Nothobranchius furzeri: one gene and its partners. The protein of the gene in region 1 purifies or fractionates together with the protein of each later gene. This does not show direct contact. Links are inferred from orthologs where the notes say so. Each region holds a gene or a part of one and is shown on either strand. Other genes may lie near its edges.

The links.
Region 2: the proteins of synaptosomal-associated protein 23 (region 1) and vamp3 purify together in Homo sapiens (affinity purification with western blotting; 6 studies listed by BioGRID and IntAct, with this or other methods). This does not show direct contact. The link is inferred for Nothobranchius furzeri from reciprocal best matches to the Homo sapiens genes SNAP23 and VAMP3.
Region 3: the proteins of synaptosomal-associated protein 23 (region 1) and vamp2 purify together in Homo sapiens (affinity purification with western blotting; 4 studies listed by BioGRID and IntAct, with this or other methods). This does not show direct contact. The link is inferred for Nothobranchius furzeri from reciprocal best matches to the Homo sapiens genes SNAP23 and VAMP2.

What each region holds. Positions count from the first base shown.
Region 1 is NC_091758.1:23,396,227-23,401,924, reverse strand, and holds the end of synaptosomal-associated protein 23, read right to left. Parts: intron 5,548-5,698; coding exon 5,430-5,547; intron 4,943-5,429; coding exon 4,772-4,942; intron 2,556-4,771; coding exon 2,411-2,555; intron 1,118-2,410; coding exon 1,055-1,117; 3' UTR 1,041-1,054; downstream 1-1,040. UniProt on the Homo sapiens protein: Essential component of the high affinity receptor for the general membrane fusion machinery and an important regulator of transport vesicle docking and fusion.
Region 2 is NC_091743.1:51,774,355-51,780,088, reverse strand, and holds the start of vamp3 (vesicle-associated membrane protein 3), read right to left. Parts: upstream 3,483-5,734; 5' UTR 3,368-3,482; coding exon 3,366-3,367; intron 1-3,365. UniProt on the Homo sapiens protein: SNARE involved in vesicular transport from the late endosomes to the trans-Golgi network.
Region 3 is NC_091750.1:51,656,622-51,662,652, forward strand, and holds the start of vamp2 (vesicle-associated membrane protein 2), read right to left. Parts: upstream 3,483-6,031; 5' UTR 3,280-3,482; coding exon 3,278-3,279; intron 1-3,277. UniProt on the Homo sapiens protein: Involved in the targeting and/or fusion of transport vesicles to their target membrane. Major SNARE protein of synaptic vesicles which mediates fusion of synaptic vesicles to release neurotransmitters.

The DNA.
Region 1 (5,698 bases):
AATATTAATTTTCCACTTGTAACCCGATTTATATAGGAGCCGTTAAATCTCCACTAGGGAGCTATTAATCTCGATTAACTCAGATGTAACAAAGAGATGAAAGTGGATTAACAAGAGCGACTGCCGATGTTTAATACACACTTAGAGAATATTTCATATTTACATCAACACTGCAGAGAGAAAACAACCTGATGAGACTTTACATTGAGTAAGACAACGGTTAAAGCCCTGCTGTGTTTATCGTGTTGATAGAAAGTAAACCAGAACCTTCTGTCACATTTGAAGCAAAAGAAACAAGAGATTGTAAGGCTTCGTGCATCAGCAGGTCAAACCTCGACTTCCCATCAGTCTGAAGCTTAAAAAAAACAAACAACAACAAAAAACACATCTTGTTTCTATCAGATTAGAATTCCAGCATAAAAAAGATCTGCCACAACTCACTCCAAAAGCACGGCATTTAGGATGACTTTTTGAAATATTGATTACATCTAAAGTAGCAGAAACGACGAGTGAATAGTTATAAAAAACAGCTTAATTCATGAATAATTAAATATGAACTCAAAACAACAACCATACATTTAACGATGGAACAAAAGGAGGAAGTGAGCGGGATAACTAATCGGGTTTGTGTGTTTGGATTTCTTTAGAAACTAGCTGTGATGAGAGCATCTCAGTAGCCACACACACACACACACACACACACACACACACACACACACACACACACACACACACACACACACACACACACACACACACACACACACACACACACACACACACACACACACACACAGACAGACAGACAGGAATAAGAAAACAGCTGACTTTGTGAATATCATGTGATATGTAGTCACAGGCCTGGTGTGTACTCTGTGCTGGGCGCTCAGTCGCTCCCTCTTTGGTTGTCACCGACACAATGCAGCCGCCGCCGTCTCCAGGACCCAGCTCATTAAACAGTGAAAAGGTGTGTGTGCATGTGCAGAAGTGTACAATGTGCATGTACGTAGCAACAGGACGTGATGAGGAAACAGGCAGGAGCAGGATTCTGTGTTTATTTGATGAGCTTGTTGGCTCTGTCGTTCGCTACGTCAATGCGTATTTTGTTCAACTCGGCCTAAAGGAGAGAAAACAGAAGATGTAAACAAACTGTCATGTTGTAGGAATCTGCAAACACATTTAAATAACTTTTCAAAAGCTTTTCTCTGCACAAACGCACATCTTAACACGGATCTGCATGTTTTCCTGAAATCAAGCAGCACAGAGTCGGGGCTTACGTCTCGGCCCAGCCGCTCCGGTCATCACAGGATCGTCGGCTAGCAGTGCCTACACCACGCTCAGGACAATCCAGACTCTTCTCATGCATCGTTCCACAAATGTGGAATGACCTACCAAGCACTACCAGAACAGGGGCTTCCTTTTCGATTTTCAAGAAACTCCTGAAGACCCTGCTCTTCAGAGAGCATCTTCTAAACTAGCACCCTCCCTGCACCCGTCCCCCTCTCTACTGTCCACTCCTTGTTCCCTCCTCTCCATGATTCATCATGCTGCCTCACTGCCACCTACGACTGACTGGAAATTGGTTGTTGTTGTTGTAATTGTTGTTATTAGCCTCAAGGGCAACACGCCGATTATCACTTGTAAGTCGCTTTGGACAAAAGCGTCTGCTAAATACATAAACATAAACAGAGGAAGGTTGCTGATCTAATGAAATAATCAGATGACCAACTATCTCAATATGTGAATTTACAAACATCAGAAAAGCAAAAGTCTGGAACGATTCTCCTCCACATTTCATTGTGTTGTTCAAATTTAGATAAAATTGCCATTTCTTTAAAGTGTTCCGACTGAACACCTTAAGCAAGAAGTCTCCTGGAAAAGTCCTGATCCAGCTTCCGCGTTTGGCCGGTTCATCTCATACTTCCAGGCAAATAATCCTAAAATCCCAGAGGCTGGATGGAGAGCTACTCCGAACCGCCGTCCTCAGGAATCAGCACACTGGCGGGATTTAGGGATTAAAGTGTTGGCTTTGGCTGAGCCACTGCAGGACAGGCAGAGACACGTCCTGAAGTTGGTCCAGAGTTGTCCTGATGGTTTGTCGTCACCCCCCCCCAAACTGTTTGTAATGTGATGCTTCCAGCATCGTGCCTCAGCACAGATGGAGGTTGGTATTAGACCACAGTGGGGTTCTTCTGGGACCACTGGGGACTCTCCTGTGATGATGCACCTTTCATTCACTCTACAGCGCTGATGTGAAACAACTGCTGTGTTTAGTGTCATTTTACAGCAGGTGTTAACTCCTTGTTTGTTTTCCAAAGGAGTAAAATGATGAACAGAAGAATTCACCAACAATAATAACATTTTACGTTATTACTATTGTGCCTATTTAAAATTTTAAAAATGCTCTCACCTTCTCAGTGATGTTGTCGATGTGCACGTTCTGCTTGTCGATTTCGTTGCCCATATTTGTTGCCAAGTCCTTCAGGTTGCTGACGATGCTGCCGACCGTGTTCAGGTTTTCCTCCATCTCATCCTCTCGAGCGTCGTTGGTTATCCTGCACATCAGACATGAAGTTTAACACCTAAGAATCCAACAGGAACGTCACAATCTCACCGTCAGAAGGGCACAAATGGATCTGGCAACCACTGGTTGTGCAAGATGTCCCCCTTAAGAGATGAAAGAGATCTGTAATTGTCATCATAATGTCATTTACATTTCAGCTGTGAGACAGAATATAAACATAAATCACACTGTATGACTTTTACTGCTGTAATGGTGCAGAAAATAAGCAACAAGGAATTCTGTCCCTTACAGAACCTCTTCTATCCTCAACTTATGGCTCCTGTTTAAACCCATTCTCTGTATAAAAGACACCTGCCCACACCTTCAAACATTCAGACTCCAACCTCCACCATGGCCAAGACCACAGAGCCGTCTAACGACACCCAGGACAACATTACACACCTGCGCAAGACGGGGACGAGACAACCTACAATAAGCGAGCTGCTTGGTGAGAAGGGATCAGCTTTTGCTACAATTTTTAAAAAATGAGGGAAAAAATACAATCTCCCTGAACCTGGAAAGGGGAGGGGGGGGGGGGGGGGCACACTGGTCAATGACCTGAAGAGACCTGGAACCACAGTAGAAGAAGAAAGAAGAAAATATCTTTTCTATAGCGCCTCTCAAGATGAAGATCACGAGGCGCTTCACAAAAACAATTGTGGAATTGAAATTAAATGAAAAATTATTGAGAAAATGATTGAAAATTTATTTATAATGAGCAAAAAATTGACAATTGTGATTAAAAAAATGTTAAAGAGAAAATGCATAGGAAAGAGGGAAATCAGTGGATCCTGAGGAAGGTGGAATAGGTGGGGAGAGCAGAATAAAGAGAGTGGTGAAGAAGGTCATACAAAAGCCAGCTTGAACAAGTGAGTCTTCAGCTGCTTTTTAAAGGAGACCACTGAGTCCACTGATCTCAGGCTCAGGGGGAGAGAGTTCCAGAGTCTGGGGGCCACAGCAGCAAATGATCTGTCACCTTTGGTCTTTAGCCTGGTGCTGCACAACCAGTAGGCTTTGATCACTGGACCTCAGGGACCTGCTGGAGGTGTAGGGACTAAGAAGATCACCAATGTAAGATGGTGCTTGTCCATGTAAGGCCCTATAGACCAGAACCAGGATCTTGAAATGAACCCTGAAGTTGACTGGCAGCCAGTGAAGCTGGAGGAGAAGCGGGGTGATGTGGGTGTGTTTGGAGGACTTGGTCAGAAGCCGAGCACAGGCATTCTGAACCACCTGTAGACGGTTCAGGGAGGTTCTGCTCAGACACGTGAAAAGAGAGTTACAGTAGTCTAAGCGTGAGGAGATGAAGGTGTGGATAACTGTCTCAAGTTCAGAGCGAGACAGAATGGGACTCAGCTTAGCAACGTTCCTGAGATGGAAGAAGGAAGAGCAACAAGAGAACTGACATGAGAATCCAGGATGAGAGCTGGGTCAAAGGTCACGCCAAGATTCCTGACAGAAGGTTTGGTGTGAGAAGTAAGCTGACCAAGAGAGTCTCTGACTTTGGGAACCAGCTTGTCTGGGGCACAGATGAGGATCTCAGTCTCATCTTCATTCAGCTGAAGAAAGCTCCCAGCCATCCAGGTTTTGATAGAGTCTAAGCAGGTGTGTAACATCTGCAGCTGAGATGTCTCATGGGGCTTAAAGGAGATGTACAGTTGGATGTCTTCTGCATAAAGATGGTAGGAGATTCCTTTGAAGGAGCTCAGGATGTGCTGAAGAGGAAGCAGATAGAGTAACAAAGGTTACCATAAGTAATACACTTTGTCATCACAGATTTAAAATTCTGCCGTGCTCAAAAGGTCCACCTGCTTATGCCAGTACATGTCCAGGCCCGTCAGAAGTTTGGCAGAGATGATCCAGAAGAGGATTGTGGTCAAATGAGACCATAATAGAACTCTGGTATAAACGCCACTTGCCATGTTTAGAGGGGGAAGAATGCTGAGTTGTACCCAAGAGCACCATACCCAAGCATGGGGATGGAAGCATCATGCTTTGGGGGTGCTCTTCTGCAAAGAGGACAGGAGGACTGATCCTGCTTAATTTTATTTTTTTTTTTACATTCCGTCTCTCACAGTTGATGTTTACCTGTGATGTAAATTACAGACCTCTCATCTTTTTAGGTGGGACAACTTACACAATCAGTGCCTGCCAAAAATGTTTGTTGCCCCACCCAACAGAACTCTTAGGAACACAAAGGAACCTGACCTGTTGATGTACGGACCAGACGGGGCCGAGGCTTGCACCTGGACAGTCTGGCCATTGCGAACAGCCGAGGGCTGCCTCGAGACCACATTTGAGTTGTTGCCGTCGCCACCCCCCTCCGATCCAGTTCCCCACGTGCGCTTGTAACGAGATTCATTCTCGATGGATGAATGTCTGGAAGGTAAAATTTAGAATACATGAAAAAATTAAGTTGCTTATCTAAACACACACACACACACACACACGCTTGCACAAAGACGGAGCCATGTAAAACTAATGGTCAACCACTGCAGAGGCTGATCAATAAAGCAATAAAGACAAAAGACTCCCTACCTTATATCACGGTAATCAAAGTTTCCTCTTCTCCAAAGCGAAAGCATTTTAAAAAGATTTTTTCCATATTTAGAACCAAACATGATCTTTTAGAAAAAAACGATCCAACATAACTCCCAACCACGACACAGCCATCGTTTCACATTCGAGAGACTTTTTACCATCAGATTTCAGCTGAATATTAACTTCTGCTCTAACTACACCGGCCTTGTTTCAGGCAGGTGATTGTTAGTAAAGTGAAATAGTAAATAAGAGTTCTATAACCAACCATGTGACCTCCCAGTAGCAGTACTATGGAGCTGTGAGCCACCTGGAGCGTGTAGTGTACCTGTCACAGGGGCAGACACACAGGCCGCAGCATCTGGACAGGTCAGCCAGGTTTTTGTCGGCCTTTTTCATGTCCTCGTTGATCTGGTCCATGCCTTCGTCTATACGCCTCAGCTGTTCTGGATCACACAAGGACACAACATGTCAGGCTCACTTTATTCCCTTTTAAATCCTACAAATAATTATTTTCATGAGGTTTCCTCCCTCAAACTCAGAAGATATGGTGTTGTCCTTTATGGCTAAAATCCCAAATATCCCATGAATGAGACT
Region 2 (5,734 bases), on another chromosome or scaffold:
TACGTAATATTTTGTGAAAAGGATACAATTGCGCAACATTACCGCCATGGTCCGACCACTGATAAATGACCTAAGGCTCCCTGATGCCAGCTCAGCTTTGTGGCAAATTAACAGCATTGTTTTGTAAAACGGCTTTTGTCTGCTACCATGTGGGTGGTTTATCCATTAGAATTGGTCATTAATGACTGCCTTCAGCTGGAAACCTGTAAAATTTAACTATACTGTTCTTATTTCATCTACTCGTGAAGCCTACAGCTCTATGTGTGTTAACGAGGGCCGGGCAATAAATCGAAAATGTGTTGTGTGTATGTATTCATTGCAGGAAAAATATTAATTTAATACAACACTGATTGATACATAAATTATTCAAACACTTTGGGATTTAAACACCTTGTTCATTCAACACATTTGATTATATCAACCTATAAAGTTGTAAAGTCATTTATGATTCAAGGAAGGCAAACTGTATTCAGAGTAAAAGTGCAGAAAGTCTTGTTTTCTGCATGGACTACTTAAAAAGATAAGGAAAACACATTATGGCTACTTATTTGCTTGTATGTCGTAGATCCTTGCTTTTCTTGTTTGGAGGCTAGACAGATGTAATGCTTCCCTGGATGTGTGACACAGTTTGTGTCTGCAAATAAAAAGTTAATTTCTGTTCATTTGTGATGTAAATACTTGGCCTTTGGGTGCGTTACATCGTTATCGAAATTTCTGACTCTTATCGAAAACAATTTTCTCATGTCAATAAATTTGATAATAAGAAAAATGAAAAGATGTGTGTAGGTTGGCAATGCTCATGTCCCTTTAAGAAGCTGTATCACCTTGAGTCACGTAAAAATGTGACTCAATGTAATACATGGGACAGCCCCATCTAGTGGACAACTTTGTTTCTGCGCATAACTGTAGTTATCGTCCATTTATCGTTATCGAGGTGGAATCCTTAATATATCGTTATTAATTTTAGGCCCTATCGCCCAGTCCTAGTGTTAACCATGCTAACTGATTTTATTTCACCTCCATTTAGCTCTGTTTATTGATAATTAACAGATAAACACAACAGTGGTCAACGGGGAGGTGCTGGCTTCTTGCCCTCCAGCGAGGGGCTAGGGGCAGGGGTGTAGGTGCGTGATGTCATCCGTCACTGCATATTACACTTTGCAGATGTTACACTGCAATTATGCATTCTGTGGAAAGCCAGGTTAAACTGATGCAACAGGTAGCTTGCAGGACAGGAAATGAGGTTTAAGCCACGATGCAACCTAATAAAATCAATTCAATCCACGTCTCTTTCTGTGTATGAGTTTGCATCATCAGTCTCATTCTGGGACAATATTGTATGTGTGTTTTGATCAAATAAAAAAGCAAGTGTGCCATTCCTAGCTTTGAGCAGTGCACCTAAAATTTGGAGTGCGTGCTTGGGTGTTATTTTCAGATCACAGGTAATTAGGACCATTGCTGATAAACACGTGACCAATACAGTTACTTCTACATCAGAGTGTAAGCAGACATTTACGCCATCATTTACAAAACAAAGTTACGTGTAAAAGTCGAGCTCTTCAGCTTTATTGGTTTACTTCTAAAAACCATTTTAAGGGTTTAAAATATAAATCTAATCTTTAAACACTGCTAAATTCTTTATTTCTAAAATGAAATGAATGTGATATTTATCAGCAAATACAAACTTTTGCAATAGTCATGTGCTGCCCCACTTTGGTTTGAGACAGCACTGCACCATTAGTGCTATGCATCTGTGTGGTTTTCACTGCTTGTTGGTTTTTCATGCCCTTTAAGCTGCTTTAACCACAGGAGAGGAAACTTAAGGAACAAAAACAGATTTGTTGTTCACAACTTAATTCTGAATCTTTGAGTAACTGAGCTTCCCTTTCCTTTAGCCATTGCACATATTTACTGTTTATTAAAATTATGATCATGTTTCCAATTTGTGCACAAGCCCCTGCATCATTTTTATTAACACAATGTCAAAAATGTGAATTTAGAATAAATAAAACTAAGAATTACCACTTAAATCTATTATCTGTACAAAGTAATTGATTACTTTATTCACATAATCATTGTAGTTAAGAAAGATCTACATAAATTGGGTTATGGCATCAGAGAAGATATTTGTGGAAAAGCTCTCCTTGAAGCAGAAGTAAAATACAAAGACTCCTCCTTGTTAAAACAGCACTCAGAAAAGCATAGTAAAAAATCTGCAATGGCAGAAACTTATTTTGGACATCTGCAACTAGGCTTTATTTTCCAAACCGAGTTAGGCTTTATTTTCCAAACCGAGTTTTTAAAGTATCATTTAATCCCAGCCAGGTACTACATTTTTAGAAAGTTTATAATTTTGTTACTTCAAACCCACATTTTTCTTATTTTCTACTAAAAGCCTTACAGTAAAATCACGAGTGGTGTACATTGTTTCAGTTTAAAACTTCTACATGAATACAATGTTTCTAAAACAGAATAACTTTAGATAATAGCATTCATATAATATCAGTGTGCATGTGAATAAAAGGTTTAGACAGTAGTCACCAAAACTGTAGCATCAATCATCAAAAGATTAAATCAGAATGCTCTTATTTTATTAATATCACCTTATATATACACCAATAACAAAATATGTAAAAGCATTTTACAGTAAAATTTATCTTAAAATGGAGTTAGCATATGCAATTACTTATCATTCTATGTGTGTGTGCAAAATCTAAATCTAATCTATAAGAAAAGTCTCAACCTCTCCTGACTGACTCTAAATTAAACATCTTGATCTAATAGGAGACTAAATGTTGCAGTGTTAATGACAAATATAAAGAAACTGATGAGACTAACTTGTGACTTCTTTGGAAAATATGTAAGGGATCACCCCGTTTAAAGTTATTGTCACCATTACTTTCTGTTAATACACCTTCCACGTGAAGTAAAACAATTAAAATGTGTGATTTATTCATCTTGTCATTTCAAACACTCGAATTGGGTGCAAGTAGCTATCTTAGCAAGGCCAAACAAACGGAAAATCACTAGTTTCGGAAGGAAACTCTTCAGTAATAAGTTGCGCAGCTGTGGAGATTAGTCAAGCTTGTGGTATATATACTTGTTTCTTTTGGCGTCGGATTGATAAAAAAAGATACCACAATAAAGTTTTTGTTAAACGAAGTTAAAAGTATCAATGTAACGATGCTACAGCTAGCTTAGCTTACGTTTGAGGCCCAAGCTAAGTGCTAGCAGCACTTGTTGCATGCTAGTAAAAAAGTTTTGGGCGTTGTTTAATCACATCGTATTATACTATAAAACAAAGTAAACAGTTTTTTGGTTGAGCTGACTCAAAAGGCGTTGTGAATGAAACATAAAATACTTACATTTTGAAAAGATATTTTAATTTAGCGAAACCGCTGCTGTTGTTTTTGTTTGTAAAGTAGTCCGTAACAGCGAGTGCGGTCGTTAGTCGTGAAGCCTTCCGGGCTGTCGGGAATTGGAAAATCAAACATAAATGACGTCAGAGTCTTCTTGAAACAACTAAATCTGTTTCTGTCTTTTTATTCCTCAAACGTGATTAAATGTTACACCTATGATATGTGACCTAAACAATAAGTTTGGAAAACTGTTGTATAAATAAGGAACTTCAAGTTTTTTTATAACTTTTCATCAATGTTTTCCAATTTGATGAGCAAAATTCTTTAAAAATAAATTTAAAAAATAGCGTTTTTGAGCATTGAAGCTAATAAAAGCAAGAGTAATGTCCTAAATCTCTCTTATATATATATATATATATATATATATATATATATATATATATATATATATATATATATATATATATACTTTTGGTTTGTGTGCTTAGTAAAAATGAGAAGAGAACACAGCCGTGAACTCGTGGTCAACGTGTGACATGAAAACAAAGGCTACTGTGTTAAATTACAGTGTTCATTTGGATACAACTCATCTTTTAATGTAGAATTCATTTTGATCTGTGCAACTATAGTTACATAAAAAAGGAAAATAAAAATAGATGTCCAGGTTCGCTGGCTGCTGAAGGGTCATGTGATGTACTGATTTAAGAGGGAGTAAAGGAATTTATCAGGCTGTTGGTTATCAGAGTATCCATGAATGTGCGGGTTGTTGTTGTGTGTACTGTGCTGTGAAAATGTTTTGTCAGATTCTTTCTGTTTATGCTTTTTAATTACACTTAAATGTTAGTGATCAGCAAACTAATACCAACACAATACAAAGATGACCTGAGTAAATAAAAAATGCTGTTTTAAAATAACACATTAAAAAATTAAGGGATATGAACTAACCTAACTTAACCCTTCTCCTCTTGCTAAATCATGGATTAACTGTGACTAGCTTTTATTTGGAATGTTGAGTTACATTTGCCACACCCAGGTCTGATTACCACCATACATTTGGAAGCAAAGCTCTTCAGTAGAATGTCTGAAAACACAAGGTATGTGGAAAGATCTGAAAAAGCAATACATGTTCTAAAGAATTCAAGAACAAAAGAACTCAAAACAACCTCTATATGACTCCAATACTCACTTTGACTCCATGTGTTGGATAAAAACAGTATTGGATGCATGGAAAATGATTTTGTCTGGGTACCATCTGGTGTTTTTTAATTCAAACGAAGGTTCATTCCTTGTTCATATTTTGTTACTTTTCTGTGGCTCCGGCAGGGAAGTTCGACCTTGTATGTCTGCAGTTCTGTTATCACAAAAAGCTCCCTAGTGAAGTCCAGACGGAGCGTTTCTCTGTTATACCAAGAACCTGGGAAAGTTTGCTTTCTGTGAAGGAGGGATGTGTGTTTTCCTTTAATGTGTGTGCTATGTTACTTTTGAATAAAACCTTTTTGCGAGCTTCTGCTCGTCGAGAGACCGAACAGACATCCCATTGGTGTGTATCTCCTTTCTCTCCGAGTTTGCAGTCTGGTTGTTGATTATTGGTGATTGATCATATTGGTAAATGGTAATCTAATATCCCTAACCCCCTTGTGTGTGTTGGACTTTCTTTGAGGTACGCCTGGACTGATTAAATGTAAATACCCAACACCATGATTCAACAATAAAACATGGACAAGGGGACAAACTCACCTCCACAATAGCATTCAGTGGTCAAAACCCTTAGCCTGGCAAGCAATCCCATAAATAAAATAAAATAAAATGAAATCTTTTGCTACTGCTATGGTTTGTCTAGATTTCAGCGCTACAAAACCCTTGCTCACCATTAACAAAGACATGCATTTCTTGGTTCTTTTCAAACACAGAAAAGAATCAAGAAATGCAAGTTGAAAAGATACACAGAGTGAACGTACAAAAGATGGTTAAATCAAAGACACGTTTAACGTTCGGAATCCCCCAAATCTTTGCAAAAATATTCTTTAGACTGAAGAAACAAATGTGTAACTGTAAAAAGCATGTGTGGCTTGTTACATCTGGAATAAAATTAACACTGTTTCAGATTTTAAAAAATGACCACAGTCAAACATGGTAGCTGTAGTGTGAAGGGCTGGGGTTGCTTTTTTTCTTCAAGACCTGGCCTTGCTTTAATCGATCAAAAACTGAACTCTCTCTAGCAGAAAATCCTAAAAGAGACTGTCCAATGATCAGTCAATCACTTTAAAGCTGAGGTACATAGTTTAGAATTAAAATGTAACTTAAAAATGCTTAAATTTGACTTTCTGACCCTGTTTAGTTATATAAAGTAGGCAATCTTTCATAATTTATATTTC
Region 3 (6,031 bases), on another chromosome or scaffold:
CAGATGGACATCTGGTGTATTTTGATTTTTAATTTTAATATTTTTAAGGGGTGCATCACTTCACCCCTGGCAAGGCATAAACGTTAAACCCTGCTTAGCCACCCCCTATCCTGGTGGGGTCACCTGATAGGAAAGTGGAAGGGTTAAGCTTGTTTTGTGTCTGATTTTGGTCAACAAGTGGACACATAATAGTCAAAAGACTGAGCTGTAAAAAGTGAACAAAACAAGTTTGTCTAAGTTGTATTTATCTAAAAGGTTCTTAGGTGAATTACAACATTTTGACCAAAAAAAAAAGTGCAACATTTTGCATCCAAAGCAGCACAAAAACCCAACAGACACAAAGGGAAATGTCTGATCACTTTTAAAAAATCTGTTACATCTTATTACCATCATTTTTTTAAAGGTTAGAAAATATATTGTTTTCTTTCGTGAAGCAAATGTCACTTTTATTGTTTAGCCTCACAATTTACTTTTATTAATTTAGTTCAATATTTAAAAAGTAGCATCTGTATAGCTGCTGTGCAATAAGCACCACAACAAAGGTGCAATGCGTGTAGAGGTTCTCGCTGTCATCGCCTCTCAGCTAACACCAGGCAGAACTGCTAATGCAGTGACAAGGCTTCTCATCAGTTTCCACATCCTGTAAAAACCACCTACTGTGTTCCATCCAGCCAGGTGCAGCTGTCTCTGATCTCTGCCACAAAGTCTTTGGTTTGTTAAAAGACGATAAACTCATTTGAGGCTTCCATGATTGTGATGAAAAGAAAGAAAACAGAACACCCATCTTAATTGTATTCTTTAAATTAAACAGAACAAAACAAAAACAGGACAAGAAAGAGGAAACCTTATCTGACAACGGCAGATAACGTGACCTACTGGGAAGGTGAGGTTTCACATGACTCCCTGTACAGTCTACTTCTGATGTAAGATTGGCTGTGAAAGCTAAAAATATTCAACCTTCTTTCAAGACAAAGCTGTAATTTATGTCCTTTGTCTGCCAAGAAAAGCAGGTGAATTTTTAAAAAGACAGAAAAGTTCACTAGGACCCCCACCCTTAACTTGTTCACTGAGGAGAAACATTGTCAATCTGCAAGTGTTAAAAATATAAAACTAACTCAGGTTTAGACATTTGTTCTTAAAGTGTTTTTGCATTTTTTTAATTTAAACTGCTTGATGCGTGATGTAGACTTAACCATATTTATTTAAAACGTATTAAATTCATACTATACAACTTGTTCATATTTTAAATCCCTTTATTGAGGCAGTATGTACTGAAATGACTCTTTACATGGTTAATTAAATGTCACTGAGACCCCACCACCCTCTGTCACCAAAATACCGCATTTACAGCTTCAGAGTGGCAGACTGGTTGGACTTAGTAAAGTGGAGCTGACATGCCTGGCCTTCAGTCTGCTTCCAGTATGCTTCCTTCATGTTTTAGATCGTGAACAAAGCTGATTTATTTCATTTAGTGATGAACCACTCCTGTAGAGCCTAATGAAGGCTGATGAGACATTTCAGCTGTTAGATTAAGGTGTTAAAAAGATGAACACGCAGCGAGGAGATAAGTTTCACCTTTGGTTTTACTAACAGACTCTAGGGGACACTCATAAATGTACCCAACATCCGATTTGTTGCCATGCTAATTATGATCATTTACAAGCTGATAAATCTCAAAGTACGTGATTGGCATGGTTGAATCATATCATTTATTTTTTCATTAAAATTGAAGTACAACATATTCCAGGGCGTAAGGCTAAATGGATCAGAAAATAGCTCTTTCAGCCCCGTTGACTTGTATTCATTTTGTCGTTCTTCTGGGGATCCATTAGCCAACTGGAAGGGGAGGAGACTTAGGCTCCCTATTTATGCTTTTTGATTATAACACACTGAAACATTACGGTAATTCACCCTAATAAGAACAAAATGTCTGTAATAATAATAATGAAATGTCGAATATTAATGTTATCACTGTATAACTCCCACCCTTGGAGAATATCTCTGTCGTTACTGGATTTCAGCACTGGACAGCGACATTTCAGCACTGGACAGTTCGTCAGCATCATTCTGTCTCATCCGACCCTCAGCCAGCCCGGTCCTGGTCGATGTTTCTTGACTTCACTAACATAACAGGTTCCACTTTAATGTCCTTTAAAACATGGTGGCTGACATGGAGCACAAACTGAGTCAGAATGAGGGTGTGGAGTCTCCTGCTAGCTGGTAGCTCACAGAGGAAGACGCCATGGACAGTAGAAACTAGTGTGCTAGCATCAGGCTGGTTAAACGTCATTGATGTGCAGGGAGACTGGTGGAAGGAGGTGTCACAGAAACCCTCACTTTAGCTTTAGTGTCTACTAAATGATCGAGTTAAAACATATGAAACACACAAAATGCCTTCAGAAATGTATTTAAAGGGGCTAGTTATACCAAAAGGTCATAGCCAGTCTGAAATTTGGACCCGACCGCCCTCTCGTGACAATCGACGACATACAGTAGGAGGCTAGGCTATCCCCACCCCCCGCTGTAGGGTGGAAATAGCACAAAAACTAGGCCTGAGCTAATATTACCATCAGTCACGTTTATTGACTATTAGTCGATAATTTCTCCGTTTGTTTGTTATTTTTTTATTTCAGGAGAAGGCTAGCAAATTAAAATGAAGCTCCAGTTCTGGTTTGTTGAGCACTGTGTCCTTGCTGTTTCTAAAATCCGCTTAATCGTCACCAGCTGGTCGGTCGGTGGCAATAAAAGCAAACACAAATAATAAAGTTCAAACATAGTTGATAGTTCATTCATTTTCTTATTGGACTTTTAATTCGCCTGCAATACATGTAATAAATGTGTGTGTCCGTGCGTGTGATATCTTTTTTCTTTTCAAACCAGTTCAAACTGGAAAAAATATATGCGCGTGCGTGCGTGCGCACTAGGAAAACGGACTGAAAAGAAGCAGGCGGTAAACACAGAGCGTTCTGTGTAAAATGGAAAATAAACAGACTGAATAAATAAATGAGATGGTGTTTTATAATCGAGATAAGAGCCGGTGCTTCTCTTTCTGCTCCTCCAAGGTTAGGCCGATGCGTTGGCCGCTATATTCAGGCTCAGAGAAAAACAAGCGACGCAAATAAAATAAAATACGGCGTTTAAGGATGATTTAGATCAAAGCTGGGAAATGTTAAGGCTGCGCGAAACAGAAGACAGCAGGAAATCCCCCAAACCACATAAAGCAGTTATCAGCTTATTTATTTATTTTTTAAATAAAGATTAAAATGTTGCTACTTACATTTTCCTGGTGTTATTAGCTAGACAGCTGCAGTGAAATCCGGACTGGAAAGGTGATCTGGTCCTAAGTGGCTGACAGATGGATGGATTCTGCGCTCCTCTCTAGCCTCTGGCAGCCTTTGGTTGGTTATTGTGGCGTTCCCTGTCTATATGTCCGAGGAGGAGCACTGGTTTGTCTCCTCGCTACAATAATTATTTTATTATTTGTTATTATCTATCCCTAATTCTATGGCGAAGCGTTACCTGCAGGCTATGTCCGGAGCCTGGGTCTGTGTGGTAATGAAGGGGTAATACACAGCCGCCTGGATTAGGTGGACAAAGACGGCTCGGTGACGTCAGCAGCGGTGAGCCTCATGTTAAAATGGGTGGCCATGCACTCCAAACCCACCGTTTTCCAGCCCGGAACACCGCTCTTGTATTCCCTATGCGCTGTTACTGGGAGAAAACGCGCTATTCTTGCACAGATGGGACATTTGATGGTCACGATTTCGTTTGAAGCTCCTAAAAAGGAGTTTTAATGTTGACTGCAAGACTGTGTCAACAAAATGGCTTCTTGGGAAGGAGGTGTGGCGAGGCTGTTATCATTCATAGTAAACACGATGTGGATGTGATGGGGAGCTGTTCCACCTGAGCAAATGAATGAGTGTCTTACTCATGGACAACACCTCATTTATTTATAAGCTGCTTTTTGTTATTCATCTAAGGGCTGTTTGCCCAAAGAGTTTTAAAGAGGGAGTTTAGATATTTAGAAGTGGATTTTTCTCAACAGTTTCAATATTATCTGTCCTATATACCTCTTTGAACAACCTCAGCTGGGAGAAAGAGAGATTTGTTACGACTACGCTGAGTAGCTAGCAGCTGGCAACAATAGAGCCAGTTCCAAAATGGGTGGATAAATAAAATAAAATAAAATAAAATAAAATAAAATAAAATAAATATCTTTTAAATATCTCTTCCGGCGCTCACAGGGAGCAGACCCTTCTGCCTTTTCCTCCCTTATCTGTGTTTTCCCAAGGCTCTTTTTGTCCCGTCTGCCTACAGAGCGCTTCTCTGCATTTCCTCTGCAATCACCTTTTTCAGCATTTTTCAACATGGACTTAATTAATTGGTCATTCAACGCAATTGATAAGATTTCTTCTACAATGAGGACGGAGGAGGGGGCTCACGCTTGTCCTCAGGGGACACATGCAGCGGGATATATGTTTGATTCCTGGAAAAAGTGGAATATCATCTGTCTCTCTCAGCTGTCCATTGAGGGCGTCGAAGATATGTGGATATTTGGCCTGATGATCATTGGATTTCTTCTGATTAGAGTGGGAGGATATCTGGCTTTCCGTAAAATTGGGATGACGGGAGCGATTGGAGGGCGACCCGCAACCATGGACGGCACCGTCCGTGTGGATACCTCACAGACTGGGACGTTGCTCGAGGTGAATCGCAAGCTGGACAATGTCTTAGCTGCGTTACCGGTGTTAGCGTGCAGGATTGATAACATCTCGGAAAGGGTCACCGGATGGTGTGGAGATGTTAAATCACTGAATTGGCTTCACTGGAGGACTTGAATGATCAATACAGACTTAAGGCAGAGAGGAAAAATTATCTCTGTCTGACCCAAACAAAGTTCTGTTATCGAATCTGACGCCATAAGCAGCCTTGGAGTTGCGTGCAAAACCTCCACGCTGGAAGGAATGCAGACAAATGCTGTGAATCTCTATCCACCCACCCCCCCACCTTCAGATTGTGGTCTCCACAGAGGTCATCAAGCTAAAGGACTCACTGCTCTCTGTGCTTCCCCATGACCTCCCTCCCACCTGCGGAGCCAGCTGGTTGAGCGCCACACAGGCAGCCCCCGCTGAGGAAACCAGGATCCCAGCCCCTCCCCCCTACCTACCGGGTCTCATGTTGTGAACTGTGACGTTTGTTGCTTACATGTCGGGTGTTTTTTTGCATTGGAGTGCTACACCCTGCTGGTGTAACCCTGCTAATGCCTTTTTTCTCCCTCCCTGAACTTCCCTCATGTATTCCCTTACTCATCTACAACGGAGCGCCGTTATGGCTGCTCCCATGGTGTGCCTGTATCTGTCTTGTCTATATGTGTGTGTGTAACCTTGGTCAGGTTGTACTATGGAGTCAAGTTCCTATGCTCTGAAAGGAGCGCTGGCAATAAAATTCATCTGATTCTGATTCTGATTAATCTTTAATCCTCCCACTGTCTTTATGGGTGACCCTGCAAGGAAAGTTGACCATTGAGCAGGATTGATGGTTTATCCCTTGAGGTCCATGTGGCAGGGGTGAGGTGGTGCTCACTCCTCACCCCTGCCACATGGACCCAATATATATATATGTACAAGTAAAATAAAAAAGACAGACAGACAGACAGACAGACAGACAGACAGACAGACAGACAGACAGACAGATAGATAGATAGATAGATAGATAGATAGATAGATAGATAGATAGATAGACAGACAGACAGACAGACAGACAGACAGACAGACAGACAAACAGACAGACAGACAGACGGGTGGGTGGGTGGGTGGGTGGATGGATGGATGGATGGATGGATGGATGGATGGATGGATGGATGGATGGATGGATGGATGGATGGATGGATGGATGGATGGATGGATGGATGGATGGATGGATAGATAGATAGATAGATAGATAGATAGATAGATAGATAGATAGATAGATAGATAGATAGATAGATAGATAGATAGATAGATAGATAGATAGATAGATAGATAGATAGATA